Rattus norvegicus: one gene and its partner. The protein of the gene in region 1 binds, or shares a complex with, the protein of each later gene. Links are inferred from orthologs where the notes say so. Each region holds a gene or a part of one and is shown on either strand. Other genes may lie near its edges.

Region 1 (15,148 bases):
CTCCTCAAGGTCAAGCTTACTCTTCAGCCTTCTCTTTCTCTCAAGGTACTTTGGTGACCCTGTCATCATCCAAATGTATCTCATCACCCTGTGATAACAATGAATGAAGACCTTGTAACATCCACTTCTTCAAAGTGGCTCTGACTTCCTCCTTTCCCTACCTTATAAAGACTCTCATGTCTCAGGAAGGTGACTTCTGGTGCTAGTATTAAAAAAGGCATCTAGGGCTGGAGAGATGGCTCAGTGGTTAAGAGCACTGACTGCTCTTCCAGAGGTCCTGAGTTCAAGTCCCAGCAACCACATGGTGGCTCATATCCATCTGTAATGAGATCTGGTGCCGTCTTCTGGTGTGTCTGCAGACAGCTACAGTGTACTCATATAGAATAAATAAATCTTTTCTTTTTAAAGGCATCTACTGTAGAACAAGGGATGCTGGGAACAAGCAGCATTCCTGGCCCTTGATAAGAGTGCCTACGGTGAGACTAACTGCCTCCCTCTCAAGTATTTCTCACCTAATGTCTCTCTCCATTTACTTCCTCTCTGCTCATCTAGTTGAAATCTCTAAGTCTGTATGATCTTCTTTAACTTCATCTACCTGATTCCAAAGGCCTGACAACTCTATAAATCACTTTCCTCCACACACCCCACCCTTTAATTACAACCATAGCAAAAACTACTCCATAGACACCACATACATCTAAGCAACTGACAATACCCATGTCTCAGACACTTGAGAAAACTGTGCTTCACTGACAACACAAACTATGCTATGACAGAAGAAACTAGGCAAGCATAAGTTTATTCTTAGAGTTAAGATTTTTCTGCAATTCTCTAACCAATTAAGCTTTAACTTTGCAAAGCTGTTGAAAGCTAAAGGGAAGACTGATAGATACAACCAGCCATGGCACAAAAAATAGATTTCTCTACAAAAATATTGTATCTTGTTGCAGCCTTGACATAAAAAACGAAAGAGTCCCTGGTTGCACAGAGGACCTGAGTTCAGTTCCCAGCATCCGCAGTGGACTGCCTACCACTGCCTGTGACCCTAGCTACAGGGGATGCAACACCTTCTTCTAGAATCCAAGAACACCTGCACACACATGCACATCTGCCCATACACACATTTAACTATGCACACACATGCACATACCCACCTGCCTATACACACACTTAAAAATAAAACAAATCTTAAAAATCAAAAGAGGGGTTGGGGATTTAGCTTAGTGGTAGAGTGCTTGCCTAGCAAGCGCAAGGCCCTGGGTTCGGTCCCCAGCTCTGAAAAAAAGAAAAAAAAAAAAAAAATCAAAAGAACCTCAGAGTTGGTCCAGAAACAAAATGACTTATGAATCTAGATGTTGGAATCTGATGGTTCTAGAACAGGAGGTAGTTGTCCCCGTTCAGAAGTGTAAGGTGTTACTGGCCTTGTTGCAAACTGTGAAACACTGTGCTAAGGCTTAGTAACTTCTGCTCAACTGGGAATAAATCATGGGGTTCTGATCAACATATACTGTCCATTCCCAAGTGAACCATTCTCTCCGTTATCCTAAAATCCTAAACCCCAAGAGTATCAGCCGCTCCTTATCTTCTTGTCATTCCCTAGTGCTCCTTTCCTTGACCTCCCGAGACTCTGAGAGACAAGCATGGTGGCACATGCTTTTATTCCAGCACATAGGATGCAGAGGCTGGTGGCTCTGTGAGTTCCAGGCATGTCTGGCCTACACAGTAAGATCCAGGACAGCCAAGGCTGCATAGTGAGACCCTGTCTTTGTACAAAAAAACAAAAGAAGGAGGAGGAAATCAAAGAAAGAAAGAGAGAGAGGGGGCGGGGGAGATGTGTGGAGAGGGCTGGAGACGGCTCAGCACTTTAGAGCTCCTGCTGCTCTTCAGGTGAACCCAGGTTTGTTTCCTGGTACCCACATGGCAGCTAACAACTGTCTATAATTCCAGTTTGTGGGGAATCTGACCCCTCTTCTGGCCTCCTCAGGTACCAGGCACCCATATGGTACACGGATTTATACATTCAGGCACAACACTTACACACATAACATAATAAAATTTTTTAAAAAGCAAGTCACTGAACTTTCCCTCTATTTAAGTAATTTATCAGAATAATGGAGTTTTAATTATATTTTTGGATTTTGAGGAAAAGACCTCATAAAGCTAAAGGTGACCTTGAACTCGTCTCCACCTCCAAGGTACTGGGATTATACACATGTACCACCATGCCCAGTCAGAATAATATTTCTCAAACATAGATCTGACATCACACTTTTGTGTCAACTAATTCTCAACCTTGTTAAGATATAATCCAATCTTTTTACAAAGACACTGAAAAAAATCCTCCTTCCTAGCTAGTACCCTGATCCTCCACTGACCCTGGAATCTACAATATGACTACTTACTCTCTGTGCCAGACACTTTTGTGCATGCCGAACTAGACACTGGCACCTCTATGCCTGCCTGACGGGCACACCTATCACCAACCCGCCTCCTCCTGCTCTGCCTCACACTCAGGACCCTTTCCAGATGCTCAGCTGGGTCTGTGTCCCAAGCTCCCACAAAGTAGGGCCTCTGCTTTTTCTTGTCATAGCACTTAACACACTCTGACTACCTTCCTATACAATAACCTTCCCCACTTAGCCAAGGAGATCCTAGAAGAAAATGGTCACATTCCTTATCACCACAGCTCTAAAACTCTGCAAGAAAAGGGAAGTACAGAATGAGCCAATACTGGGGAGACAGAGACAGGTGGAGTTTGAGTTTGAGGCCAGTCTAGTTCACACTGTGAGCTCCAGGACAATCAGGGCTCCAGAGTGAGTCCTTTTCTCAAAACAGGCACTACAGAAGACGCAGTCAGAAGCAGGCTCTGAGAGGTGAGACGGAGCCAACAGTTTCCCAGGGGGGAGCCAGACAGTGGGTAGCACAGGTGGCCACTGCTCACTAACAGGTCCGTGCCCAGGTTCCCCATAAGCAACGCCATTATTTTGTCAGATGACACAGTTTGTAGTCATTCAGCTGCAATGTCTTTGGTTTCTCTACACAAAACCGACTGATCAGAAAAGAATAAAGAGCCTAACCCACTATCCATAAACAGTGCCTTCGGTTCCTATCAGTGGAAATGAATGTGTTCATCAGTCTTGATATGCTGCCCTCAAGTCAGAGAGGAGGATGACTTGTTTCTCACCTTGTTTGGTAATTTGGAAAGTCTTCTTGCTGCAAAGTACGACGGCCTGAAGCATCTCATGAGGAGAAACATGTGCCTTGAAGTTTCGGGGGTTCCAGAGCTTTCTCATCAGCTCTCCAAAACGCTGGACCAACAAGAACATGATATCCCCCGGAGGACGCTTGATGTTCTTATAATTGTCCTCCTCCAGGAAGTAGTTCCGAAGAGGAGGAACGTTAGATAGTGCCTGTAAGTCAAGCACTCTAGTTAACCCAAAGCCCCTTAAAAGACCTCTTGTGAAGAGCTGTTCCAGCTAACACTCAGACAAAGCCTGTGACAGGTCTAGGATGGCCTTAAAAAATCCAAAAGAAACTGACCCTCTGAAAATGCTTCCAGAGCTCAGTAAAATGTCCTTCACTGAGTCACACAAAATAAAGGCTGACGGGCTGGAGAGATGGCTCAATGGTTATGAGCACTGACTGCTCTTCCAGAGGTCCTGAGTTCAATTCCCAGCAACCACATGGTGGCTCACAACCATCTGTAATGGGATCCGATGCCCTCTTCTGGTGTGTGTGAGGACAGCTACAGTGTACTTATATAAATAAATAAATATTTTAAAAGAAAAAAATAAAGGCTGACAATCACTTAGTGAACATGTACACCCAGAAAGACTTTAAAAGAAAAGCACAGTAACTCTGTAATCCTAGCACTTAGAAGGCTGAGACAGGAGAACTACCACAAGTGTGAAGCCGGGCTGGACAATGTAGTGAGTCCAGGCCAGTCTGGGATACAGAGCAAGGCCCTAGCTTAAAAACAAAAAAACAAAATCATAAAAAGTACTTTTAAAAAATGTATTTGGGGCTGCATCCTGCCCTTGCAGAGGACCTCCTGGATCCATGTCTGGCAGCTCAGCACTGCCTGTAACTCCAGCTCCAGAGGATCTAACACCTTTCTCTGGAGCCCACCGGTACCTGCACTCACACATGTACATGCCCACATAGTGCATACACATACACAGAAAGGAGGAAGGGGGAGGGAGGGAAGGAAGAGGAAGGGAAGGAGGAAGCGGGAGGGAAAGGAATGCAAATATAAGCATCGAGTTTAGTTTTGGCATTGCCTTGTGACAAGGTGCACCTGTTAGCACCTGGAAACTTCAGGAGCCATAACTTAGAGGCTGAAAAAAAATCTCTCAGCATGTGGCAGCCACCCCCTTGACCAGAGAGAGAGGAGTGTTCTGCTGGCTGCAGAACAAATGCTCAAGTAGTGTCCTCAGACAGACCTTCTGACAGCACTCTCTAAGAAAGCAGTAATTTCCTGGTGACCTTTGCACTGCTTCCAGTTTGTCCTCCCCAGTGTTCTCTCTTGAGCCTACCTGCAGCACAGCATTTGCATAGTCGTTGGCTTTTATGTTGTTCAGTCCCACAATCCCTGGCAGGTAAGTGGTACCATCATATGCCCGGGACAATTTGGCTTGCTTGTCCAAGTTTGCAATTTGCTGCTTTGTGAAAGTAGGCTTCAACACATACTGCCAAGCAAAAGAAAACTCTAAGTTGTTGTAAGAAAGCTCTAAGATATGTCCAGAACGGCAATTCCTACCCAAAATAAAAACACCCTGGTCATGAATGCCTCACTACACACCCTAAGGCCCCAGCCAGGGATGAAGATCAAGTTAACAAAGTAAGCCCTCCACGGCACTCATCCACGGAGTTCCACGTCTAACCCTAAATCACTGAATTTCAGGTCTGTGTTCAACCCTACAACTTGGTCAGTTCCATGATCAATGACTGTCAGAAACCACAGGATCCTAAGGACTATAATCCTAAGTCTCCAATGAGGTGTCATATGTATCTAGCTCAAAAATGGGAGCACCCCCTTCTTTGCTGGCACTAAGATTTCAAGCCTCCCCAGGACTGTGTGGGCAAGAATGGAGTCTTCTTGGTCACATAGTTATCATCATGAACTTACTTTGAAATCTTGAATTTATTTCACCATTTCACTCTCCCTCCAAATACATCCCTGACCTCTTGTAGGGCACTCTCTAGGAATCCTTAAGATAGCTCACAAAACAACGTGCCTCTTACTAGCAACCTGGGAAACATACTGTAATATCCTCCAGCGAGGAATCGATGATCTCATAGTTGTCAGGAAGGCAGTAAAACTTGAGAGTGTGGAGGTTGAGGAAGACATGGTGGCTGAACTGGACACTGTGGATGTAGGCATGAGACTTTAAACCCCGGCCTGTGGGGAAAGGAAAAAGGCTATCAGAGAAAGGCCTAGAAAGCACAAATCAGGTTTGCTCCATTTCATTATTTTGTGTAAAACATGTTAAAAGCAAAAACAAAGCCCTACACCTTCCATTAAATTAATTACATAAACTTCTCTCACAAAGAGAACCAGAAAGAGCATTAAGATATAAGTTAGGGAATCACTTTCAATATAAAGTAGACACAAACCAACTTCACGTGCATCAAAAACTAGGAACAGGGGGGTTGGGGATTTAGCTCAGTGGTAGAGCGCTTGCCTAGGAAGTGCAAGGCCCTGGGTTTGGTCCCCAGCTCCGGAAAAAAAAAAAAAAATAAACTAGGAACAGTCGAAAATACATTTTTGGTAAGTAAGTATACAAATACGTTAAAAAACCCAGCTGTTGGGTTGGGGATTTAGCTCAGCGGTAGAGCACTTGCCTAGCAGGCGCAAGGCCCTGGGTTCGATCCCCAGCTCCGGAAAAAAAAGAAAAAAGAAAGAAAAAAGAAAAAACCTAGCTGTACCTGTCCTGAGGCCTCCCACCCATGTTCAGGACATGTGCCCATGTCCTCTGCCCTCTGTGATTTCTACTGTTTTGTAGCACTGAGATTAACCCAGAGCTCTGTGCACTCTACACACACTCTCGAGTTAGCACTGGGCTACCACCCAGACTCTTCCATTTTGAGACATGGTCTTGTTTAGGTTCCCAAGCTGTCTCAACTTCCCACCTTCCTATCTTCCCACCTAAGGTTCCTGAGAAGCTTGGATAATAGTATGTATGTATCACCCTCCAGCACTCTAAAATATTGCTCTCCTTCAGCCCATGCGAATCCTTTTGCAGAAGAGCTGTAAGAGAAAATAGGCCAGAGAGTGGTGACTCACACCTTTAATCTCAGCCCTTGGGAGGCAGAGGCAGGGGATCTCTTGAGTTGGAAACCAGCATGGTCTACAGAGTGAGTTCAAGGACAGCTAAGGATATATAGAGAAACCCTGTCTCAAAGAACAACAACAAAATAAAAAACAAAAAAAAGAATGAATTATAACAACATATGAACATGCATAAAAAAAACCCCATCACTTCTTATTCTAACCTAAAAGAATGAAAGAAAGAAAGAAAGGAAGGAAGGAAGGAAGGAAGAAAGAAAGAAAGAAAGAAAGAAAGAAAGAAAGAAAGAAAGAAAGAAAGGAAGAGAGAAAGAAAGGCAGGCAGGCAGGCAGACTGGGCATGGTGCCACCTGTGATCTCAGCAGTAGAGAGATGGCAGGAGGATCAAGACCTTGTCTACAAATACACACACTTACTTGACATTGGGGAGAAGTCAAAAAGGCTCAGTAAGTAAAGGCATTTGCCACTAAGCCTAGTGACCTGAGTTTGATCTCTGGAACCACATGGTAGAAAAAGAACCCCTGCACCCTGTCCTGACTTCTATATAAGCACACAAAGGCATGCGCATGTGTGCACACACGTGCACACATACACACACACAAACACAAAATAATAAAGTTAAATCACATCACCAGTGGACTATGAATGTTCTTACTACTCCCTTGGTCTAAATGAGTTAAAATAATACATTTTCCAAAAAGAACTAAATACATAAGTATTCTTGAGCATGAGGAAACCTGGGGAGGAGACTCAAGTTCAAGGAAGCCTGGCCTATGTGCTCAGGCCCCATCTCAAACAATAAAACTATAAATACAGAAAACACTAGACTTGGAAACCCAGGGGCTGCGGATGTAGCTCAGTGGTAGAGTACTTGCCAGCATGTTTGAGAACCTAGGTTCAATGCCCAATACCAAAAGGAAGGATGGCAGAGAAGGGAGGGGAAAAAGTAAACAGAAGCTTAGAAACTCATTGTTCGGAGAGCTGGTCTTTCTTCACAGATCTTTCTCTCTTCCAGATGTGCTCAACTCTGATGAAGGAGGGAACCTTCTCCAGTTTCCTGGAAATAAAGATGAGGGGGAAAGGGGGCAGCTTCACAAACTTAACACGTTTATCTCTCTCCCCATTTACTTACCTTGAAAGTACTTGCCACACACCAGGCAGGCATATGCATTGATGTGCGAGAGAGAAATGGAACAGAGTTTCTCAAAGTCGAAGTCCAGCACACTCCTGAGAGACAGAGCACAGAACAGTGACGGGGTGAGGTGGCACTGGCTCTGTGTCCCACAATGCTGCCCCACCAACACACACAAGAGAATGCTGTAGCAACTACACATAGACCACATACCTCTACCCAGCCACCACAGCAGGCTCAAACTGTCTGCATCAAACACAAATGCCCAGAACACACTTTTTCATTAGAGTCAAAAACCATGGATCGACATATGGCAAAGATAAAAGCTGGATCTGCACTAAACATGAATAGGCTTTTCCCTAAATGATAACATGACAACGATTTTACATAGCACTGACACTGTATTTGGGGTTAGTAATCTACATAGATTATATGTAAATACTAACCCACAGTTTATAAAAACTTGAACAGCCAGATTTTGGCATATATCAGGGAATCCTGGTTCCACTCACCTGACGGATATAAAAGACAACCTTTTCACAGTGGCTCACTCCTGCAACACTAGCACTGAGTCGGGAAGCCTGCAAGTCTGAGGCCTGCTCTAGCCATAAACAGTTCCAAACCAGCCTCGGTTATACAGTAAGACATGGAAAACAAAAAGAATCTTCACATTCTTTGCAGGGAAAGCAACAAATAGGACCAAAATAAGAGCCCAACAGCACTGGGAAAGGACACATCCTTTTAAAGACTAAAGAATCTGCCAGGCATGGTAGCACAAACCTTTAATCCTAGCACTAATGAGGCAGAGGTAGGTGGACGTCTGCGAGTTTGAGGCCAGTCTAGTCTGCACATTGCATTCCAAGCTAGTTGGAGTTACACAGTGAGATTCTGGCTCAAAAATAAATAAAAATTTTATTTATTTACTTATTTATTTTTGGTTTATTGAAACAGGATTCCTCTGTATGTAGCTCTGGCTGTCCTGGAACTGGCTCTGGACTAGACTAGCCTTGAACTCACAGAGATCCACCTGCCTCTGCCTCCTGAGTGCTGGGATTAAAGACATTTTACTACCATGCCTGGCTATAAAATTTTATTTGTTTATTAAAAAAAAAAAAAAAAAAAAAAAAAAAAAAGGAGGGGGTAAGCTTGGGAATTTGAAAAGGAAAGGACCGGAGGTTTTGCTTAGTGGTAAAGTACTTGCCCAGCAAGCACAAGATCCTAGCACACCACACCAAAAAAAGAAAAAGAGAGAAAAACCACAGGATAGAGGAGGAATGAGAAAGCAAGCAGCTGAAGAAGTTTAACACAACACAGAGCCACAGTATGAGTGCTGAGCAGAAAGAGACCAAAAGCTTTTATGTCCACTGAATCCACAAATGTGAGACTCCATAGTAAATATTAACAGCTATACTGTTGAGGAACCATTGGTCATATGTGGTTATTGATAAATTTAGTTCCTAAGCTAAAGTGTAGCTCAGTGGTAAGGTATGTGCAGCATAAATGCTCTGGATTTGATTTCCAGTACCACAAGCAAAGTAATGAATTAGTGCTTCCAGGGCATGAGCCATATGTCAAGTCATCAAGAGCCTTGTGTAGCCTGTGCTTCCCACAGCAAACATCCCCTATTGAGAGCAATGGCTGATGAGTTTGGTGGGGCACCTATAACCCCTGCACTCGGGGCTGAGGCTGGAGAGTTGAGAATTCAATGTCTTCCTGAGCCACATATCAGAACCTGTTTCAAAAACAAAAACAAAACAAAACAAAACAAAACAAAACAAAAAACCCAACATCTTAAAATGAAATTCTCTGTTGTGGAGAGTTCTATTGGACAGCACCATTCTAGAAGATAGGCTGAGGACAACTGAAAATCAAAGAATATACAAGATAAAGTCTCTGCCATACAAAAACAAGCAAACAAGAACTTTGGGGACTGGGAGAGATGGCTGCATGGTTAAGAGTGCTTGCAGACAACCAGAGTTGGGTTTGTAGCACCCACACTGGGCAGTTTACGACCACCCATAAATTCACTTCAAAGGGAACTGGCGCCCTCTTCTGGCCTCCACAGGCACCTGCATGCACATGATGCACATGAACTTGTGCAGGGATACACACACATAAATAACAACAAAAGGCAACACTTCTCTGAGAACCCCACATCCGTGCTGTTAAGTGTGTCTTACTTTATAGTGAGCTCTTTCCCTTAACCCATGTGCTGAAGCTGATATTCAAGTATCTTCAAAGGTGTTGTGGTCCACACCTGTAATCTCAGTACTCAGGAGGCAGACAAGAGGCAGGCAAATCTCTGGGTTCAAGGGCAACCTGGTCTACGGATTGGGTTCTAGGACAGCCAGAGATTTTACACACACACACACACACACACACACACACACACACACACACACACACACACACCTCAAAAAAAAAAAAAAAACCAAACAAACAAAAACAAAAAAAACTGCACTGTTGGGGTTGGGGATTTGGCTCAGAGGTAGAGCGCTTGCCTAGCAACTGCAAGGCCCTGGGTTCGGTCCCCAGCTCCGAAAAACAAAAAAACAAAAAAACTGCACTGTCACTATAAAGGAACAACACAACTGAACATGTCAAGAAGCACAATTTCCTAGGCAGACAGGCATAAAAGGAGGAAGGTTTGAATGTATTCTTCAATGCTCAGTTTAGAGAATTTTCTACTGTATTCTGCATCTCAAAATCTACATATGGGGCTGGAGAGATTGCTCAGCAGTTAAGAGCACTAGCTGCTCTTCCAGATGTTCAATTCCCAGCACCCATACGACAGCTCACAACTGTCTATAACTCCATTTCCAGGGGATTTGGTGCACTCACACACACACACACACACACACACACACACACACACACACACACATGCTGGCAAAACACTAATACACATAAAATAAATTTTTAAAAAATCCACTGACTTTGTTTGTTCGCATAGTATTGGTGATTAAACCTTGGACTTCTGCCCTGTCAGGCAAGTGCTCACTACTAAGATACATCACCAAGACTTTCCTCATCCTTTTCACATCACTCACCTATTAATAGTATCCAAGTATGGACAGTGACGACTCCTCCGGTCTTCAGAATCCACTCGGCCATTCTTTGCTGAAAAGAAATCCATCACAGGCTTTAAAATGGGAAACTTGTGCTGGAAAATAACTCAGTGGTAGAACACTTAACTAGCACAGGCAGGATTTGCTCCAGCACCATAAATGGACGACAGGAGGCTCTCCTCAAATCACAGGTACAAAACAAATAAACAAAACAAAAATCACAGGAATGGGAAAGTTTGATCACTAAGATTGGGAAAGTCTGATCACTGAGATTGGGAAAGTCTGATCACTGAGATTGGGAAAGTCTGATCACTGAGATTGGGAAAGTTTGATCACTAAGATTAGGAAAGTTTGATCACTGAGATTGGGAAAGTTTTTGATCACTGAGATTGGGAAAGTCTGATCACTGAGAGTAAGATGAGCTTGTACTTTTCATTTAGTGACAACATTTAAAAAAAAAAGGCCACTAATGACATAAGTTACAAACCAAGAGTAGATCTATTACATATATAACCAACAAAAGATTAACTTATATATTACATAAAGGAATCCAGGCGAGTGAGATGGCTTAGTAAGGGGCTTGCCACCAACCCAACTATCTGGATTCACTCCCTGGGACATACAGGGTAGGAAGAAAGAATTGACTCCCACAAGTTGCCCACATGTATACCATGGTATGTGCATACAGGTATAGTGGTGCACACAATTAATCCTAACCCTTGAGAGGATAGGCTAGGTGAAATCCCTAAGTCTACAGAAAAAGTTCCAGACAGCCAGGGCTATTTATTAAGAGCCTGCCTAAATAAATAAATAAATATCAAATAGGCATGAAAGTTATCATGAAATATATCACAAGTACTAAGATAGTCTAAACATCCTTAAATCTACCATTAGTCCAAGAACTGTGATGGATTCTGAGAGTTAATCCTAATGTGCTAACTCTAAAGTTAGCTCTAATGTGTTAGCTTGCTACAGCTTCATGGATGCTGACAGAAGGCACACGATCACAGACTAAACCAAAGAGTCTATTAAAGCGACTAACAATATCCAATTATATGACATCTTTGCCAGATCCTAGAGTTAAGTCCCACACTAGAACAGAAAAAGAGCCAGTGCTCACAGTGGGTTACATTATAGAAGATCCCTGCCCTTAAGGGAATTATACCTTCATGTGACCTTACTCCCTTTTGCTCTATGGAATAATACAATCTGTCTCCCAAGGCTGTTCATTACATCAACATCCTTTACAAGACAACATAGAAATCCCATGCAAAACCCAGGAGAAACAGAAGCGTCTCTGAACTATTCAACTGATACAAAGTCACTACTTTAGTCGGGTGCACTCGACTAACAGCCTTGTTCCAGAAATTACAACCTGGCTCTGAATCTTAGGAATTTTGAAGGGAAATAGAAAACGGTGAGGGGAACACCTGTACAACTATCAGCAGAGCACCTGACTCACATGAGCCATTCAATAACGGGAAGAAGCTGTGGTGTATGGTGACAACGTTTAAGTTTAGAATTGTCTTCATTTGAAGGCAGTCCAGTCTAGATTCAAACCCATGCAAGGAGGCGGTAGGAAGGAAAAGTAAAATGCAGATGAAAACTGGGCATCTCAGATCTCAGGAAAGGGAGGCAAAGTACCAGGAATCTAAGATCATCTCTGGTTACAGCTTCACGTTTCTGAGACCTGTCTCAAAAAGTAGGAGGAGAGAGAAGAAAGCAGGCAAAAGGGGAGGTCGCGCCCGGCCCGGCCCCGCGCACCTCGCACCTCCCGCTCGGGCTCCGAGTCCTCGTCGGCCTCACGCTCACGCTTCACCCGCACAACCGGGAGCACGGGCGCCGGGACCTCTCGCGGAGTCGGCTCGGCCTCCCGCTTCACGCGGACCGGACTACCCCGGGAGCTCGCCGCCTCGGGCTCCTTCTCGCGGTCTCGCTCCTTCTTGATGCGACCCGAGCTACCTCGAGACTCGGACTCGCGCTTCCCACGGGTAGAACCATGAGACTGCCGCTTGGACCGGCTAGACATCGCCACCACCGGTTAGGAGCTTCCGCGCCGGCGCCGCGCACGGGAGGCAAGCAGCCAATCAAGAGCCGAGCTAGCTTCAGAAGCACAGCTCGCTACGAGTCGCTGTGAGGGACAGTACAAGCTTATAAAACGTTATAGGTGCTGCTGGCCCAAATGAGATAGTTTTGAACATATTGTGTCCTTTATCCATCTTCTCTTCACAGCTTAAATAGAACCTTTCATAGGCTACGTTGACTGTAGGAAAAACGAAGCTAGCATTCAACCCGAGATATCTTCAGGATAGTTTGTGTCTCGAAACGACAATCCACAGATGTCCCCATGATCAGGGACTGATGACCTAAACAGAAAAAAAATCAGTATTTCTCCTTCATTCAGGCTTGTACCTTGGAACTTCAATTAGTAACATATTTAAAGGGCTCTTGAAATAAGGAGTTTGCAAATACTCTACGCATTTATTGTTTAGCTAATAAAACTTCAAATTCAGCTTTACCACGGAGTCATGCCTTAGACCTTGCCTATTTGAACAGTTCCATCGAGGTATAATTGATATACAGGACAGTACACGTTTGATGTGTCTAATTTGCTAAATTTCGATGTGTGAACACTTACAGCTCCATTGTCATAATCAAGAGAAGAACTCCGGAAATGTCCTTGTGCCCATGTGGAATCCCACCCAAACCAAAATAGTGACTACATTTCCTAGAGTTTTGTTTTTGTTTTAAGATTTATTTATTATATATGAACATGATGTAGCTGTCTTCAGCACATCAGAAAAGGACATCAGATCCCATTACAGATGGTTGTGAGCCACCATGTGGTTGCTGGGAATTGAACTCAGGACCTCTGGAAGAGCAGTCAGTTCTCTTAACTGCTCAGCCATCTCATCTCTCCAGCCCCTTCCTGGATTTTATGCTCAAGTATGAGTTGGTTTTTCCTCTTTCTAACCAGGTCTCATTCACATCTGGTGTAAGATAGTCTGTTCCTTTACTTTCATTATAATATCCCATCAAACAGATGTACTAGACTTTGTCACTGCTCTAATGACAGGTTTCTGATTTTGACATTTTAAACTGAAGATTTGAAAAACTATACACGTAGGCTGCGGCAAAAAGAATCCCAAAGTTTAAGGTCAACTGAGCTACATAGTTAGTTCAAGACTATCTTAGGCTACATACCAAAAAGAAAGAAAGAAGAAAAGGCTATTCATTATTAGACCCTCCTATGGCCTTGGTTCCTGCCATGGACAGTTAAGCAAGTGGTCTGGGCTCTAGCACTGCAACCCCAATATGGCTGAAATAGGGTCTGGGTATGAGTGGGGAAAACTTGCATACCTGAGCACTTGTCTGCCTCATTGCCTATTAGAGATAGATGTTTTTAGTATGTCCACTAATAAGCAAACAAACGGAGGAGATTAGTTTAGTCGGTGAGAATGCTTACTGCCAAGTATGAGTTCAAATCCCCAGCACCTATGTAAAAAGCCTACAGTGGACATAGCCTAGCCCTTTGGGAAGTGGAGATAGGAGGACCACTAGGGCTTGGTGGCTGTCAGCTTAACTACAGGTTGAGTGAGAAGTCCTATCTCAAAGGAACAGGAAGGGAATACAGACCAGAGCACCTGGTGTCCTCTAGCCTACACACATTACAAACACAAAAATAAGGACACTTAGGCACAGTTGGATTAAAGCGTCAACCAAATGGCATATATAACATTTTTTTTAATTTGCCATAAAGAAATGATGTCATTTGCAGGAAAGTGGTGAACCTAGAGATGTTAAGCGAATTCAATATAATTTGGAAAGATGAATCACAAATATTGAATTCTTTCCGATATGAAGGACCTAGACGCGTCTGTGTGTGTGTGTGTGTGTGTGTGTGTAGAACTATAGGAGGCAAGGAAGGGGTCTAAAGGAGAGAAGATGCAGCAAAGATGATGGAGATAACAAAATATAACTTTCTCGTGAGCAGAATCTAGCTTTAAAGATAGGAGCAAAGCAAATACACGCAACACATATACACACACATATTTGATCTCATAATGAAGCTTATTGTACTAAAGAATGGAGTTTTTAACGGGCTAGAAAAGAAAGCCAACATCTCTAAACTAATAGAGTGCACGTTCGGTATTCTTGGATGACTCGAACTTTTAAAATAATTTCTTGGCATCTGAATATAATCCTTCTTTCGTGTAGATAACATTACAAAGAAAGCGATCTTCCAGCTCTAACAGTGATCAACAGATGAGGGTTCTCAAGTTTCGAAAGCGTCAACACTCCGCGGCACCCGCCCCTACGCAACCGGAAAAAAGGGCATCGGAGCCGGAAGTCGAGGTCCGCGACCGGAAGTCTTGATCCGCTGCCGGCGGCCTGAATTACCCGGCCGTTGTGGCGGTTGCGGCGGTTCTGTACCCAGGATCCGAATGGAGGCGGCACGGGACCCAGGCCCGGGGTTGTGCTGCAAGCCCGGCGGGCGTCTGGACATGAGCCACGGCTTCGTACACCATATCCGTCGGAACCAGATCGCTCGGTACCGCCCCGCCCCAGGCCCGGCCCGGCCCGATTCGGCCGGGTGACAGCGCCTGACTCCCGCTCGGCTCCCCGCAGGGACGACTACGACAAGAAGGTGAAGCAGGC
Region 2 (14,793 bases), on another chromosome or scaffold:
GCTTGGGGGGCAGAGGCATGCAGCCAGCCTGCTCCACAGGGCGAGTTCCAGAACAGCCAGGGCGACACAGAGATGCCCTTTCTAGCAAACCAAACAAAAACAAACACACAAACAAAATGAAATCAAAAGCAGTAAGATAATAATGTAATCCACAAGGTAACTATTTACCGAAATGAGACTTGTGACAAAGGACGGATGAATTTTCAGTGTGTATTTGTCGTAAATCATGGAAGGAAAGCATGCACTCTATTAGTTCACATGTACTTGTACTCCAAATTAAATTTCTACTTGACTTTAGGAAAAATCATAGTCTTCTGATGTAGGTGCTTTTGGTTATTTATATTTGTGTATTTTGTATTTTTCACACAATGTATTTTATCATAGTCTCGCCCTTCCTCCACTCCTCTCATATCCTTCCCTCCCCACTCTCCCACTCTCCAGTTTTATGTCTTCATTTTTTCCACATTTTTCCAGAAGAGGTTCTCTGTGTAGTCCTGGCTGTCCTGGGACTAGCTCTGTAGACAAGGCTAGCCTCAAACTCAGAGATCTTCGTGCCTCTGCTTCCTGAGTGCTGGGATTAAAGGTGTGTGCCCCCCACCACCTGGCCGATATGCTCTTCCGAGCATATGAGCCTGATAATATTTTTTTTATTTTAAAAATACCTATGTGTATGGTGGTTTTGTTTGCATACATCCCTGTGCATCGCATGTGTGCCGTGTCTTCAAGAGGCCAGAAGAGGGTGTTGGGTCTCATGAAACCGGAGTAAACGTTGGTTATTAGTTACCACGTGACTGCTGGGAATCTAATCCAGGCCCTCAGGAAGAACAGAGTCACCTCTGTGGTCCCAGTGTGCATCATCCGGTTTTCAGTAACTATTGTAGCCCCTCCTGCCAGTCACTCCTGCCTCCAATTCTCAATCTCACATAGCCAGGCTAAGAAAACCCAAGGCCAACTGTTCCTCCAACAGAAGGCCTCAGAGCTGAGCCAACTCGGCACATAGGAACTGGAAAGAACTAGAAAAGCAAGCTGTCCCATAGCAACCAGACTGCTACTTCTCTCACCTCCCCCCCCACCTCGAGAGCTTTCCTGTGCCTCAGAATGAGCCTCACCCCACCAAGGAATCACTGTGGGACAGAACCAGGCCAAGATAATCTGATGGCTACTCAGCCTTTGGAATAGCTACTCAAACCAGTGCAAAATGGGTGTTGTCATCTAAAGGGTCTCTGGTTTATAAAAAGGTATCCCCTGCATAATATAAACTTAAAATCACCCCCAGTCCTACCTTTAATTGGCCTGATGGCACTTGTCCTATTAAGATATTAAGATATTGAATATTAAGACATTCAGCCGTGTTCCCTATAGCTTAACAGCCTATTCTCGTTACCTGTAACATTGTCCCTTGTGAAAATTTCACACGTTACCCCCAAGTGCTGCCTAATATTCCACTGTATGGCAACGATCACCTAGGCAACTAAAGGTTTGTTAGTTCTTGGATATTGTGATCATTAATTGATTTCAAGACATTACTAATAACGGCATTGTGAGAGATTACCCAACATCCCTCAGCAAGCCAGAAGTTTCAGGAAATCCACAGCATTCAGCCAAACACAGAAGAAAGAGGCCCCACCCAATGCTCCCGACGATGGTGGGCATCTCTTGATCTTAAACTGTGTCCCTTAAATTGGATGGCTCAAGTCTGATGGTCTTGGTGGTTTGAAATAAAGGCAGCGACATCTGACTGGGTGCCAAATGTCAAAGTATCTTAGTCATAACTGTGATTTTAGCAGGCTCGCAGTAGATAGTTGAAGTGAGTCGAACAGATCTGAGGCTCATCAGAACCACAAAGACCAGGCAATCCCAGCGCCTGGGAAGCAGAGGCAGGGAGATCATGAGTTTGAGGCTAGCCCTGGCACTGTAACAGATTCCTGTCTCAAAACCAAGAGCAAACAAAGAGGAACAGGCGAACCGCTCACAGACTGACTTTATATCCCTAACATCACAGAGCTGGGCTCTCATCGGCCTCCCACGAGCCCCTGCACGTCTGTCCAGCTTTCTTTCTGAGCCCTGCCTTTGGGTTTAATTTAATAATTAAAGGCCTGTGGGCGTTGCCTTTAATCCTAGCACTCAGGAGAGAGAGGCAGGTCTCTGTGAATTCGCGTGGTCTGGTCTACACAGTGAATTCTAAGCCATCCAGGACTACACGGTTAGACTCTGTGTCCAAAGCAATACTACATACATACATACATACATACATACATACATACATACACAAAAATATAATTTTTATGTTTTCAATCAGTTGAAAATTTAATTGAAATGGGATTACCCACCCCCAACCAAGGGATCCCCCATGCTGTAACCTTCAGCTGTGCTGTGTGCTGTGTTATGTCTGTCATGCCTTCTCTGTGGGTCCAGAACAGTCAGGGGTGCCCACCCTCAGGGCTCCGAAATGGACAGCATGCACACGTGTTCATGCGTCAGGTCTTTGTCTTGAATGCTCTAAGACTGCACGGGCAAACACAACATGTTATGTCTTCGTCTTGATCTGTATGCACAGGCAGCCTACATACAGCCTTCTGCATCCTGCTGTTCGCTGTATGGGGCTCACCGGTTGGGTACGTGAGCCTCTGGACCGACTACTCAGTGCTATGCAACAGCCACTGTCTGTTTTCTCGCCTGTGTCTGGTGCGGCTTCCCAACAGTGCTGCAATTGGCTGCCTCTCTCCTTGTACACACTGGCCACTCTGTTTATCTCTGCAGTCTTGATGGGATCCTCCTTCTGACCCCTCTGGGTTTACTCAAAAGCCTACTCCTCATCTTGAGCAGTCCCCAGGCTTTGCCTACAGGGCATCCTGGGAAGTTTGGGGATGAATCTCCAGGTTGCCACGGCTGCCTTCAGCTGCAGCTCGAATGGGTGATCAAGTCAACTGCTCTGCAGCCCGGGGCACCAGGGAGGAGGGTCACTGGGTGATACTTCTGTATCTGTGACAGTCTCAATATTTATATACCCCAACTGGTGTGTTTATACACTGACCCCAGTGCAGCTGTGTTTGGAAAGGTTTCTAAGGAAGTAACCAAGGGTAAATGAGGTTACAAGGGCAGTCCCCGCCATCCAGTAGGTCTGGTGTCCTCATAAGAGACAGAAGTTGGCTCTTTCTCAGTGTGCACAGTAAGGAGAGCCCATGAGGGCACGGTGAGAAGACTGTCCTCCACAAGCCAGTATCCTGAAGCTCAACTGTCTCAGAACCGCGAACTTGTTCTTCCAGAACTGAGAAAATACATTTCTGTTGTTTAGTCTGTTCACTCTGTTATGAGAGTCTAAGCAGGCCATGAGCAGGAGGGATACAATCAACAAGGAATGTGGAACGGACAGGTTTCCACCCTTCTTCTCTCCTAACGTCGGAAGGCTACTATCTGTAATACCTTCATACCATTTACCCCACACAGTAAACAATGGCATGGCCTTAATTTGTTGTGCAATTTAAAACACGTTGTGATTAACACACGTTGTGTGTTGTGATTTTAAAACACGTTCATCATCTCAAAGACACCCTGCAGCTTCCTACCTCATGCCCACGTCCTACGCAGCCACTAACCCACTTTCTGTCCACGGGGACTTCCCTGTCTGCCAGTCTTCACCCAGCGATGGACACCTGGGCTTCCGCGTTTTTGCTGCTGTGGATAACGGTACTGTACACAAGTTTCTGTGTGGATGTTTGTTCTGTTTTCTTCAGTCTAAACCTAGGAGTGGCAGCTATAATATCACATTGGACTTGGCGAGATGGTCTCACCAGCAGTTGATGAGGACTCCAATTCCTCCCCATATTCACAAACACTTGGTATTGCCCGACTTGTGAAGCCATCGCTCCAGTGGAGGAGAAGTAGAATCGAGCTGTGGCTCTCCCTCCTGAATGGTGGTGTTGAGTATTTCTGTTTTCTGGCCATTTTCCCATCTTTGAAGTATTCAAGAATATTTTCAATGTCTGTTATGTGCCAGGTGCTCAGGGGCGCAGATTTAAAACAAAACACTAGATCTTATACCACTAGGATGCCATTTTATTTACTTTTAGCTTTTCTGAGAGCCGTGGGCTCCAGTTGCCCCTGCCTCTATCTCTTGAGGGCCATGATCACACCTATGTGCCACGATGCCCAAGTTTCTACTGTGTTTTATATGATTTATGTTTAGTTAGAAACCGTTCCCCATCCACCTTTCCACTTTGAAGTGTCTGGAGAACAGCTATGGCTAACTATGGTAATTTGGTTTCTAGAAGTAAATCAACTTGTCTCTCTAGATTCTTGACTGCCCTGCCCTGGGGGACCCCAGTAATGGTCAGCCAGGAAAGATGTATATTGATAACCTGATATCTTTTTAATGATGCGCTAATCCAATGAGTTAGTAATGAACTAATTTTATGGCTGGGTGTCCCCACATCTTGAAGAAGAACTGTATTAAAGGGTCACAGCATTAGGAAGGTTGAGAGCCACTGCTCTAACCCCTAGCAATGGTCAACTGTGGCTAAAAAGGGGAACTCTTCACCCTCTGTGTGGGGCCCTGCCTTTCTGGACTGTAACTTTCCAAGCACTGTGGACTCTGAGTCTCACAGAGACTCCACTCTGCAGGGGTTTACCCCTGGTAAAAGTAAAGACTGTACAGTTGCTGACCTTTCTGTGAGCACTTGGTAGCTGTTGGACTCCATTCAGTGGCTGACCAGTGGGAGCTGCAGTCCAGCCCTAAGCGGCTGGCACTCCAGTCTTCAGTGAGGCTCTGCCAGACAGGCAGGAAGGGCACCTGAACACTCAGACCGGTCTGTCACCCTCTCCTGAGCAGCAGCAAACTCAGGCACTAGCACAGGCCATTCATCCTGAAATTCCTCCTTGGTCACAGCCTTCTCAGTGGCAGCTTCTTTTTCTTCTCCCTTCTCTTCTGGATCTCTGCAGACATCAGGCACGGCTTCCCACGTTGCTCACCGGCCCACAGTCAGTAGACCCATCGAGGGAGCTCGAACGAAAATGGCACTGTCTACATAGTGCAGAGGAGAATCTGTTACCTAGAGCGTTGGTAGGCAGGTTGACAGGAAACACCTCTGGGAAGAGGGTGGCGGTCAGCCCTGGTATCCATCACCAAAGGTCCCTGGAAAGCTCCTTGGATCTAGTTAGTGAAGGTCCCAGGAGTGAAGTTGTTCAATGGCAGCGCAAACCTCAGCATAGGCTACAGTTATACCAGCAGCGACTTAAAGCTGACTCGGTTCTAAGGCGTTTCCCATGTGGTGGTTTGAATATGCGTGGCCCATGGGAAGTGGCACAGTTAGTAAGTGTGGCCTTGTTACAGTGGGCGTGGCCTTGTTGGGGTGGGTGTGGCCTTGCTGGAGGAAGTGCGTCACTGTGGGGTTGGGCTTTGAGGCTCCTATGCTCAGGCTTTGCCCAGTGCAGATGAGACCTTCCTCCTGGATTCCTGCAGAGCCAAGTCCGGTCTTGCTCGACTTTTGATCTAGATGTAGAAGTCTTAGCTCCTCCTCTAGCACCATGTCTTTGAGTATGCGGTCACCCTGATAATGGACTGAACCTCTGAAATTGTAAGCCAGCCCCAAGTAAATGTTATCTTTATTTTTTAATATAAGAGTTGCCTTGGTCATGGTGTCTCTTCACAGCAATGAAACCCTAAGACACCCAGGCCCGCTCACATTTGTGATGTACACAGCATTACTTTTCCTTCAGTAGATGTGCAAGTGCACATGTGTGCGAGCGCTCTGCATCTACATGTGGAGAGCAAGGCTGTACCACCTAAGCGTTTTCCTGTCACATCGAACTTAAGGACATTCTTGAGGGCGCCATACGGAGTTTCCCTTTATGTAGGGAATCAAGAACAATGATTGGGGCCATCCATGGCCAGTGAGGGAAGCTAAACTCCCTGTCCCCAACCGCCCCACCTTACAGGGTCTCAGTATGTAAACCAGATGACCAGACTGGCTTTTTGACCAGAAATGTCTACTTCTGCCTCCCAAGTGCTAGGGTTAAAGGTGTGCACCACCATGCCCAGCTACTACTTTCCTTAATGGGCACATTAGTGCTAGACATCCCACTGCAGATGGGCTTGTGACTGACTTTTTGCAAGCTAGGACTACTACTCTACCACCAAGCAGCATCCCAGCCCTAGACTCATGGCTTAGTCCATTTGACAAGTGCGTTTAATTGTAGGTAAGATGTCTGCTTCACTCCTGAGTTTTCACAGCGGGCCAACTTATGAAGAGCCCATGAGGTGTCCAGTGAGTGGCCACCACTGCGTACTATGGAGACGGATGAGACAGGTACAGAGGCCTGCCCGAGTCAGTGAGGAGCTTGTCCAATGTCAGCTCCTCAGATGCTGACCTTTCTCTTCTGAGTTTGTGTTCAGAGAGGTGAGAGGGTAGACCCAGGTCCCTCCACATTGCCAGGAAGAAACAAGAGAAAACTGAATAGATAAGGGGACTTGTACTGAGTGAAATGAGGACCCTGCCTCCTTAGGAAGTATGACACAGACAAATGGGGGAAGAGTCGAGGACAACTCGCGGAAGGGAAGCCCCAGACAATTGCTATTTTTGCAGTTGTCTTGAGCGCAGCAGTCTGGCCTCGGCGGGAAGCAGGGGTGCATCATACCTGGATTCCAGGGCTATTTTATACGCTGAGTAAGAGTAAGACTGGGTCCTCTTAAGGGTTGTCACCCCAAATCAATATATTGATGTTTTAAGCTCAGAATCTCAGACCATGACCTTATTTGAAGTGATTATCATATGTAATTGGTTAAGATGAGGTTGTCAGAGTGAGGTGGGCCCCTCAGACAATGTGACTGGTATTCTTATAACTATGAATATTTTGAGATTGGCATATACATGCGTACACATGACATACACAACTCGTAAGGAAAATGGCAAACACTGGGATAATGTACTCTCAATCCAAGGTTCACCAAGGACGGCTAATAACCTCCAGAGCTAAGGGGTTACTATGGATAGCCCACGCCTCAAATGGAACCCAGAACACAGCCACCTCAGGTGCAGACCTGGAAAACCATACAGCTGAAATGTCTGTGGAAGCCACCCTATCTGTGGTATTTGCTTGACAGCTCTAGCGACCACTTGAAGATGCAAAACCTGACAGCCTCATGGGACAGACAACGCTTTCACTGAGAGTGAAGACATTTACAGTCAGTAAAGCACACGGCAGATTCCTACTGTTCCTTCACGTTTATTTGCTTCAGGTAGTTAAGGCCCCTGTAACTCATCTCAAGGCTCCTCCAGCCCTAAGGCCATGTTCTGCTGCAGGCCCTTTCCCGAGGCTATGAGAGCAGAGTCTGTCTAGCCAGAAGAGGCTCCCAGTGTCCTGTGCACAGCCTGAGTCAGTGCTCAGTATCTGTACTTTGTGGAATAGTCCTTGGGCGACACCACCAGGCCTCGGCCTTTGCGGGCGCCACGGTACACGGTCTCTATGATGTCAACCATTTCCTGCTTGTCTTCCATGGCCCAGTTGATCTTGTTATTGTTACCAGTGCCCAAATCAATCATGATGTGTTTGTTTCTGAAAGAGAAGAGAAGAGCGATGCTCACAGAGAGCCCCACGCACGTCTGGTCTCTCTGCGGCCTAAGCACCTGTAATGCCATTTAAGAGCACAGACCACTCAGAGAGTCCACAGTTCAAGACAAAATAAAGACAAACACTAAATATAATTTTCTATAGAAAAACTCTGCACTCTTCTTGGATTTTCTGTGCATTTGTTTACATATATAATTTAGTTCTTTTGAGACAGGGTCTCTACATATCTCTGATTGTCCTGGAACTCACTTTGTAGATAGGGCTGGCCTCAAACTCAGAGACCCCATTGCCCCTGCTCCCGAGTTCTAGACTGAGGGCATGCACCGCTGTGCCCTGCAATTGTGCATCCGTATCTTGGACTGTAAAGGTCAAAGACAGCTGTATCGTTCTGAAAGACAAGCAGTTTTCCCGAGGTGCTCTAATTTTCCTGAAAAAGCCTGTGACCTTCTCATGCTTTGTGCACAGGGACTTGGTACAGATTCACCAAACGCTTTGTAACCGTGGGTTGAGAATGATGGCTTTGCCCACCTGGTATGCTGTGACTGAGAAGCAAACAGTCCTTAGCCACTCACCCTTCAGAGGACAGGCCTTTCCCTCACTTAGGAACCTGCATTTGTACTTTCTGAATAAAGATATTAATCCCTACTGAATTTGCATGAATTTTTTCAAGTTTCTAAAGATCTGTTTCTATTAGTCTAACACTATGGGATCACTTCTATGGAATCACACACTGGCTTCCACTATAGCCCATGACCACGCCCCACTGGTTCTGAGAGCAGTGAAAAGGTCAGTTTGACATGACATATGTCAAATATTCACTCCCAGGGAGCATTCCATGTCCTCAGTTAGCCCAGGAAGGGGGTGGACACCCACACCTCCTCCTACCCACATGCACAGCAGCCCTACTGGGCTCTATGGCTTAGTCTCTCTGTAAGCACACTGGACATGACTAGTACTTTGTATACCCGGGAACCCTGTGTGATTCTGACAGGCTTCAGTCAGTTTTATCTCTGCAAAGGGTTTTTGTAAAGAGGAGCCTGGCTTCTCTTACTCTGTCCCAGTCCTAAGAGTAAAACCTGGTAGGTACTCAGTGTACCTGGTAGGTACACTGGGATATAAACTGACCACTCTTGACTCTTGTTCTAGAACTTTGGATCACAGAAGAAGGAGGAAATTTGTCTTCTTTTCTGAGTCCACTATCTGTCCTAATGACCTCAAAGACACCGGCTGTCCCTACCCACACACCAACACTGCTTCCTCCAACCTCCTCCCATGCCTGTCGCTGTCTCTCTAAGCTAGTCCCTCTCTCCCATGTGAAGTGAGCGCCTTGTTTCTCACAAAGAGGAAGGGACTTTGGTTGCACACTGGGAAGGAACTACTGTGTCCTATAGTTGTATGGAAAGCAGAACTTGTTAACTGAACTTGTTTTTTAGCAGAAGAGATTTCCAAACAAGGAAATGCTGCCTGTTTTCTTTCTGTCCGTAAAGGACAGAGATGAGTGGGCTCAGGACTGTTAGTGAGAAAATTAAACTCGCAGCTTCTTCAGATAGCACAGTGCTGAAGGCCAGAACATTCGCAGGCAGCAACTGTGGAGGAAGAGAAGACTGTGGAAAGAAGAGAATGGCCCCCACTGTGGCTGAAAGAGCTGGTCAACCTGCTCAGCTGCAAGCATCAGTCATGAAGGAGACTTGGTTAGATCCCTTCCCAGGGGGAGCACGCAGCTAGGAGTGTAATACTGAGCCTTATTAAAGTTTGTCTGGCCCTGTGTGCTGTGTGTGCAGGTGTGGGGTGTTGGAGGTGGAAGGGGAAGAGGCTCCCTGTTTCTGCCCAATCCCTCTGAGCTGGAACAACTTCACAGGGCAGGGGTCACGCTGTAGACCTCAGAGCAACTGACTGGGTGATCTGGACAATGAGGACTGTGACCTGCTGGTCCCAGGAGTGGGGTCTCTAGGGTCCTTGGAGACCTGGGAGAGGGTCCTGGCTTGCTTTAAGGGAAGGACAGTCTCAAGGATAATAGACAAAATCCTAAAATACCGCCCGTCCCTGGGACCTCTGCTGTGACACTGCACAGGACATTCCTGACACGGGCCAAGCTCCTCAGTAGCTGGCTCTAAAAGGAGATCACTGTGATTACCCAACTCGCACTAGTCTAACCCCCCTCTAAGAAGGAGAGGATTGTGCGAAAAGCTCACTGTGACAGACAATGGATGCTGTCTTACTCAGACAGAGGAGCCTTAAAGAGCAGAGTGGCTCCCACCAACAGCAGCAAGAAGAAAAGCCTCAGACACCTGCAATCACTCAGCCCACAGGTCACGCCTGAGACCCTGCTTACCTCAGCCTCAGAGCTGTTAACTCACAAACGAGAGCCAGTTTACGCTAAGCCTGTGCATGAGATCAAACACACAACTCCGCTTTCTATCTGGACACCGCCTTTGGAGGTCTATGACTATAGACCAACTTCTTTAGTAATTACGAGAAAAACTTTTGATGAGTAGAACCAGTCAAATGAAGAGGTCTTCCCAAATTCCTACCGGAGTGTTGAAGCTCACAAAACAACCTGGGCGTGCATGGAGCGAAGCAGCTCAGGTTTCCTTCTTGGATTTTGTCAATGGACACCACATAAAGTCAGTGCCAATATCTAGCGAGTGAAGCTGTATTCTAAAAGGTTTCTTCATCAGCAGATTTTATCTGAAGGTATTTTAAATGCCTGAAAGAATGTCTATTTAATTACACTTCACAACCATTTCTGGAAAGTATTTCAAGAGTTATTTGTTGTTTGAGTGGATGTTAAAATTGGAATTGGTACTTTACAACTATTTAAAAGACTCAAACTGCACAACTGACTTCCTTCTGAGCAAAGGGATCTGTCTGTCCCATCAAACTTCCAGCCCAACAGAGCTCTATTTAAGCAGCAGTTTCAGACAGCCTACCTGAAGAAGAACATGACCGTGCATGGGTCATAGAGCTCATACATCTTGTTGAAGTCAGGTACTTCTGTAATATCCACAAGATAAATAACTGCAAAATTTTTAACCTGGAAAGAGATTTTAAAAACCAAAATAAGATAAAATTGGTTTTCATTGTATAAAAGTAAATTAAAACAAAAAACAAGACTGTGTAACTGGGCATTTTTTCAAACCAGTTACTAAATATTTGTCCCACAGAGCTGATGAAGAAAAACCACATGGTCCTGCCAGGTTCTGACCAATGCTACTCACAGCTCTCTGCCAGCTCCAAGTCACTTAAGAACTCAACTTGTCTCATGATCAAGTTAACAGTGTTGCAGGAAATGCCCACAGCCCTCTCACTTGCCTACTAACGAGCCGTTTTCTAAGTTTTTGTAAGTTTGTACTTACAAATACTCATTCCATGTTATCAAACTCAACCATCCACTCTCCCCTAATTGCTCATTTCAATGCTTGCAAACACTACTAGTTATTATTCCACATGTTAAATTTTCTACAATTTATTACAATTTTCTAGTGCAAATGTATCAGTTTAATAAAAATTTTTAAAAAGACTGAAAGCACCCTAAATCCCATTGCTGTTAACGTTTTTGCTAAGTTCTCCCTACCTCTTCCTAGATTCATTCTAAAACTCTAGCACTTTGACAAGATGGCCATACTGTATTCTGCTTCCACCAAAGGCATCCTTGTCCACCAAAGACGCTCTTTAGCTGCCGGCTGGAACACTCTTTGCTTATTTCTTTGCTGAGTTCCGAAGAGCATCAATAATTCTACTATGCATATTGACTTTAAATTTATGTATACACTTCCTAAGGATAAACCTTAAAGCAGCCTTAGACACAGAGTGATGCGTTCCTTAAATATGCTCTGTGCACTATATAAAGGCACGACCTAGACATGTCATAGACATGCCACTTGCCCCAAGTCTCGATTCCTAACCCCCGAACTGAGAAGTGACTCTAGGAGGGTCACTATGGATGAAGCTGGTCATGAGGTTAGGCTAGGAGGTGGATCCCCCACTCCGCCACTGCTCTATTTATAGGGACAAACCACATGACAGCTACTGGGAACATGGGCACCAGAGATGTGCACACAAGCTGAAGCCAGCACCAGGAGCCACCAACCAACAAACCAACCCAGGGATTCCCCACTTCCCATCTTCCTTTAAGAAAGATGAAACGGATTACCATGGGTACATGTGGGTGCAGGGTATGCCCAGCATGCGCCAGGATTACCATGGGTACGTGTAGGTGCGGGGTATGCCCAGCATGTGCCAGGATTACCATGGGTACGTGTAGGTGCAGGGTATGCCCAGCATGCGCCAGGATTACCATGGGTACGTGTAGGTGCAGGGTATGTCCAGCATGCACCAGGATTACCATGGGTACATGTGGGTGCAGGGTATGTCCAGCATGCGCCAGGATTACCATGGGTACGTGTAGGTGCAGGGTATGTCCAGCATGCACCAGGATTACCATGGGTACATGTGGGTGCAGGGTATGTCCAGCATGTGCCAGGATTACCATGGGTACAGTGGGTGCAGGGTATGTCCAGCATGTGCCAAGATTACCATGGGTACGTGTAGGTGCGGGGTATGCCCAGCATGCACCAGGATTACCATGGGTACGTGTGGGTGCGGGGTATGCCCAGCATGCACCAGGATTACCATGGGTACGTGTAGGTGTGGGGTATGCCCAGCATGTGCCAGGATTACCATGGGTATGTGTAGGTGCGGGGTATGCCCAGCATGCACCAGGATTACCATGGGTACGTGTGGGTGCAGGGTATGTCCAGCATGTGCCAGGATTACCATGGGTACGTGTAGGTGCGGGGTATGCCCAGCATGCACCAGGATTACCATGGGTACGTGTGGGTGCAGGGTATGTCCAGCATGTGCCAGGATTACCATGGGTACGTGTAGGTGCGGGGTATGCCCAGCATGCACCAGGATTACCATGGGTACGTGTGGGTGCGGGGTATGCCCAGCATGCACCAGGATTACCATGGGTACGTGTAGGTGTGGGGTATGCCCAGCATGTGCCAGGATTACCATGGGTATGTGTAGGTGCGGGGTATGCCCAGCATGCACCAGGATTACCATGGGTACGTGTGGGTGCAGGGTATGTCCAGCATGTGCCAGGATTACCATGGGTACGTGTAGGTGCGGGGTATGCCCAGCATGCACCAGGATTACCATGGGTACGTGTGGGTGCAGGGTATGTCCAGCATGTGCCAGGATTACCATGGGTACGTGTAGGTGCGGGGTATGCCCAGCATGCGCCAGGATTACCACGGGTACGTGTAGGTGCGGGGTATGCCCAGCATGCACCAGGATTACCATGGGTACGTGTGGGTGCGGGGTATGCCCAGCATGCACCAGGATTACCATGGGTATGTGTAGGTGTGGGGTATGCCCAGCATGTGCCAGGATTACCATGGGTATGTGTAGGTGCGGGGTATGCCCAGCATGCACCAGGATTACCATGGGTACATGTGGGTGCGAGGTATGCCCAGCATTCGAGAGGATTACCATGGGTACAGTGGGTGCGGGGTATGTCCAGCATGCGCCAGGAGGGCAACATCAGGAGAGTTTTCTTTCACCACGGAGATGTTCCAAGGACTGACTTCAGGTTATTAGGCTTATGTGCAAATACTTTTGCTGCCTTGCTGTACACCCAGCCTCCTTATTCCTGGACATATTATCTCATTTTATATTCAGAGGAGCCTTAGCATGCTGCCCTTAGAGACAGTGAGGCACCAGCTGGCACAAGGTCACACCACAAGTATCTCCAGGTTTGGCTCCATGTTCTCTCGAGTAGCTTTGCTATCCCTGAGGTGTCAGTACTGGTGAGGACTAAAGACTGCACAACACTTAGGCCTCAGTACTCAGGACAGAGCTGCATGACGAAGGGAGTCGACTATGGTGCCTGTGTACACACACACACACACACACACACACACACACACACACACACACACACACACACACACAGGCTGTTCACTTGGGTTTGTCTGAGATGGGATCTTCTTATTCATATAGCCCAGGATGACCTCACACCTGCTCTGTAGTCCAAGGGGATCCTGACGTGATCCTCTGCTTCTGAGTACGGGGATTACGTGTGGACCAACCTCGCCTGACTATGAATACCTTACTTAGTGTTCTCCCTTTTGGGGCACAGGATTGAACCCAGGGCCTCATGCCTACTAGGTGAGCGTATTACCACAGAACTTAACCTGTCTTCTTTTATTTTGAAATAGGGTCTCACTAAATTTCCCTGACTGGCCTTTAAGTCATGTTATAGCCCAGTCATGCCCTGGACTTGTGGTCTTCTTGCTCCAGTTCCCCAAGTTCTGAAATGGCAGGCACCCGCCATTACACCCATTTCCTTTATCTCTTCATGGCTAATAATCCTAAAACCTACCAGCTAGGCTGGACACAGAACTTAGTGTCTGCTACATGTGCAAAGTCTTTGGTTCAATACCCAGTGTGTTCCCCCACCAAGCTACCTGCAAAAAACAAACTCTCGCCTTATATGTAGGCCAGTGGTAGAGCACTTGCCTAGTATACGCAATGCCCTGGACTGGGTTTCCAGAACATCAAAAACTACAAACCCCACCCAGAAATCCAGTTTGGTAACTTAGTTTATGGGGAGTAACCTGTCTGTCGCCTGGGATCTGCTTCCAGTGGTACAGCACAAAGGTGAGTTCAAGACTGCCACCCTGACAGTGTAACAGGCATTGGCTGCACTCTATTGCTGGCAATATTCCAAAAGTCAGCAAGGAAATTAAATCATAAAGTGACAGTTTATACTTAACAAGGACTTCAACGTACATGATACACTGTGCACGTCTGGCACATGAAGTGTACGTGCCGTGTACACATCATGGTGCATGAAGGACGTGTGTGCGTTACCATCTGCACATCATGGGGCGCAAGGGATGTGTTTATATTAATCACTAGAAACCATGAACTCCACTCCCTCACCTCGTGCACGCCTTAGTTAGATCTCAGTTCACTGAAAACTGCTTTCCCACAGCATCCATGTTGAAATCATCAGCCAGGTCACCAGCTCCCAGCTTCCATAGTAAACACATTCCATCCTGGTATTATTTAAAAATAAAATTGCTCACCATAGAAGATGAGGCCATAGAATCATCAGATCAGGAGGCTGTGTTCCATTTTCTGTTCAACTTGTCCAAGATCATCCAGTTTACGTACCAACCACAAAACCGTTTAAATATGGGGACATTCAGCTACCAG

Evidence for each region.
Region 2: Usp39 (region 1) and Txnl4a share a complex: the UniProt entries of both Homo sapiens proteins name them as parts of the U4/U6-U5 tri-snRNP complex. The link is inferred for Rattus norvegicus from reciprocal best matches to the Homo sapiens genes USP39 and TXNL4A.

What each region holds. Positions count from the first base shown.
Region 1 is NC_086022.1:105,945,908-105,961,055, forward strand, and holds part of Usp39 (U4/U6.U5 tri-snRNP-associated protein 2), read right to left. Parts: coding exon of another isoform or gene 15,119-15,148; intron 15,042-15,118; coding exon of another isoform or gene 14,935-15,041; exon of another isoform or gene 14,636-14,934; intron 12,856-14,635; 5' UTR 12,519-12,855; coding exon 12,254-12,518; intron 10,542-12,253; coding exon 10,472-10,541; intron 7,517-10,471; coding exon 7,422-7,516; intron 5,402-7,421; coding exon 5,265-5,401; intron 4,689-5,264; coding exon 4,536-4,688; intron 3,411-4,535; coding exon 3,185-3,410; intron 1-3,184. Other genes in the region: C4h2orf68 (UPF0561 protein C2orf68 homolog), read left to right, coding at 14,935-15,041, 15,119-15,148.
Region 2 is NC_086036.1:75,942,282-75,957,074, reverse strand, and holds the end of Txnl4a (thioredoxin-like protein 4A), read right to left. Parts: intron 10,601-14,793; coding exon 10,497-10,600; intron 7,552-10,496; coding exon 7,380-7,551; 3' UTR 7,202-7,379; downstream 1-7,201. UniProt on the Homo sapiens protein: Plays a role in pre-mRNA splicing as component of the U5 snRNP and U4/U6-U5 tri-snRNP complexes that are involved in spliceosome assembly, and as component of the precatalytic spliceosome (spliceosome B complex).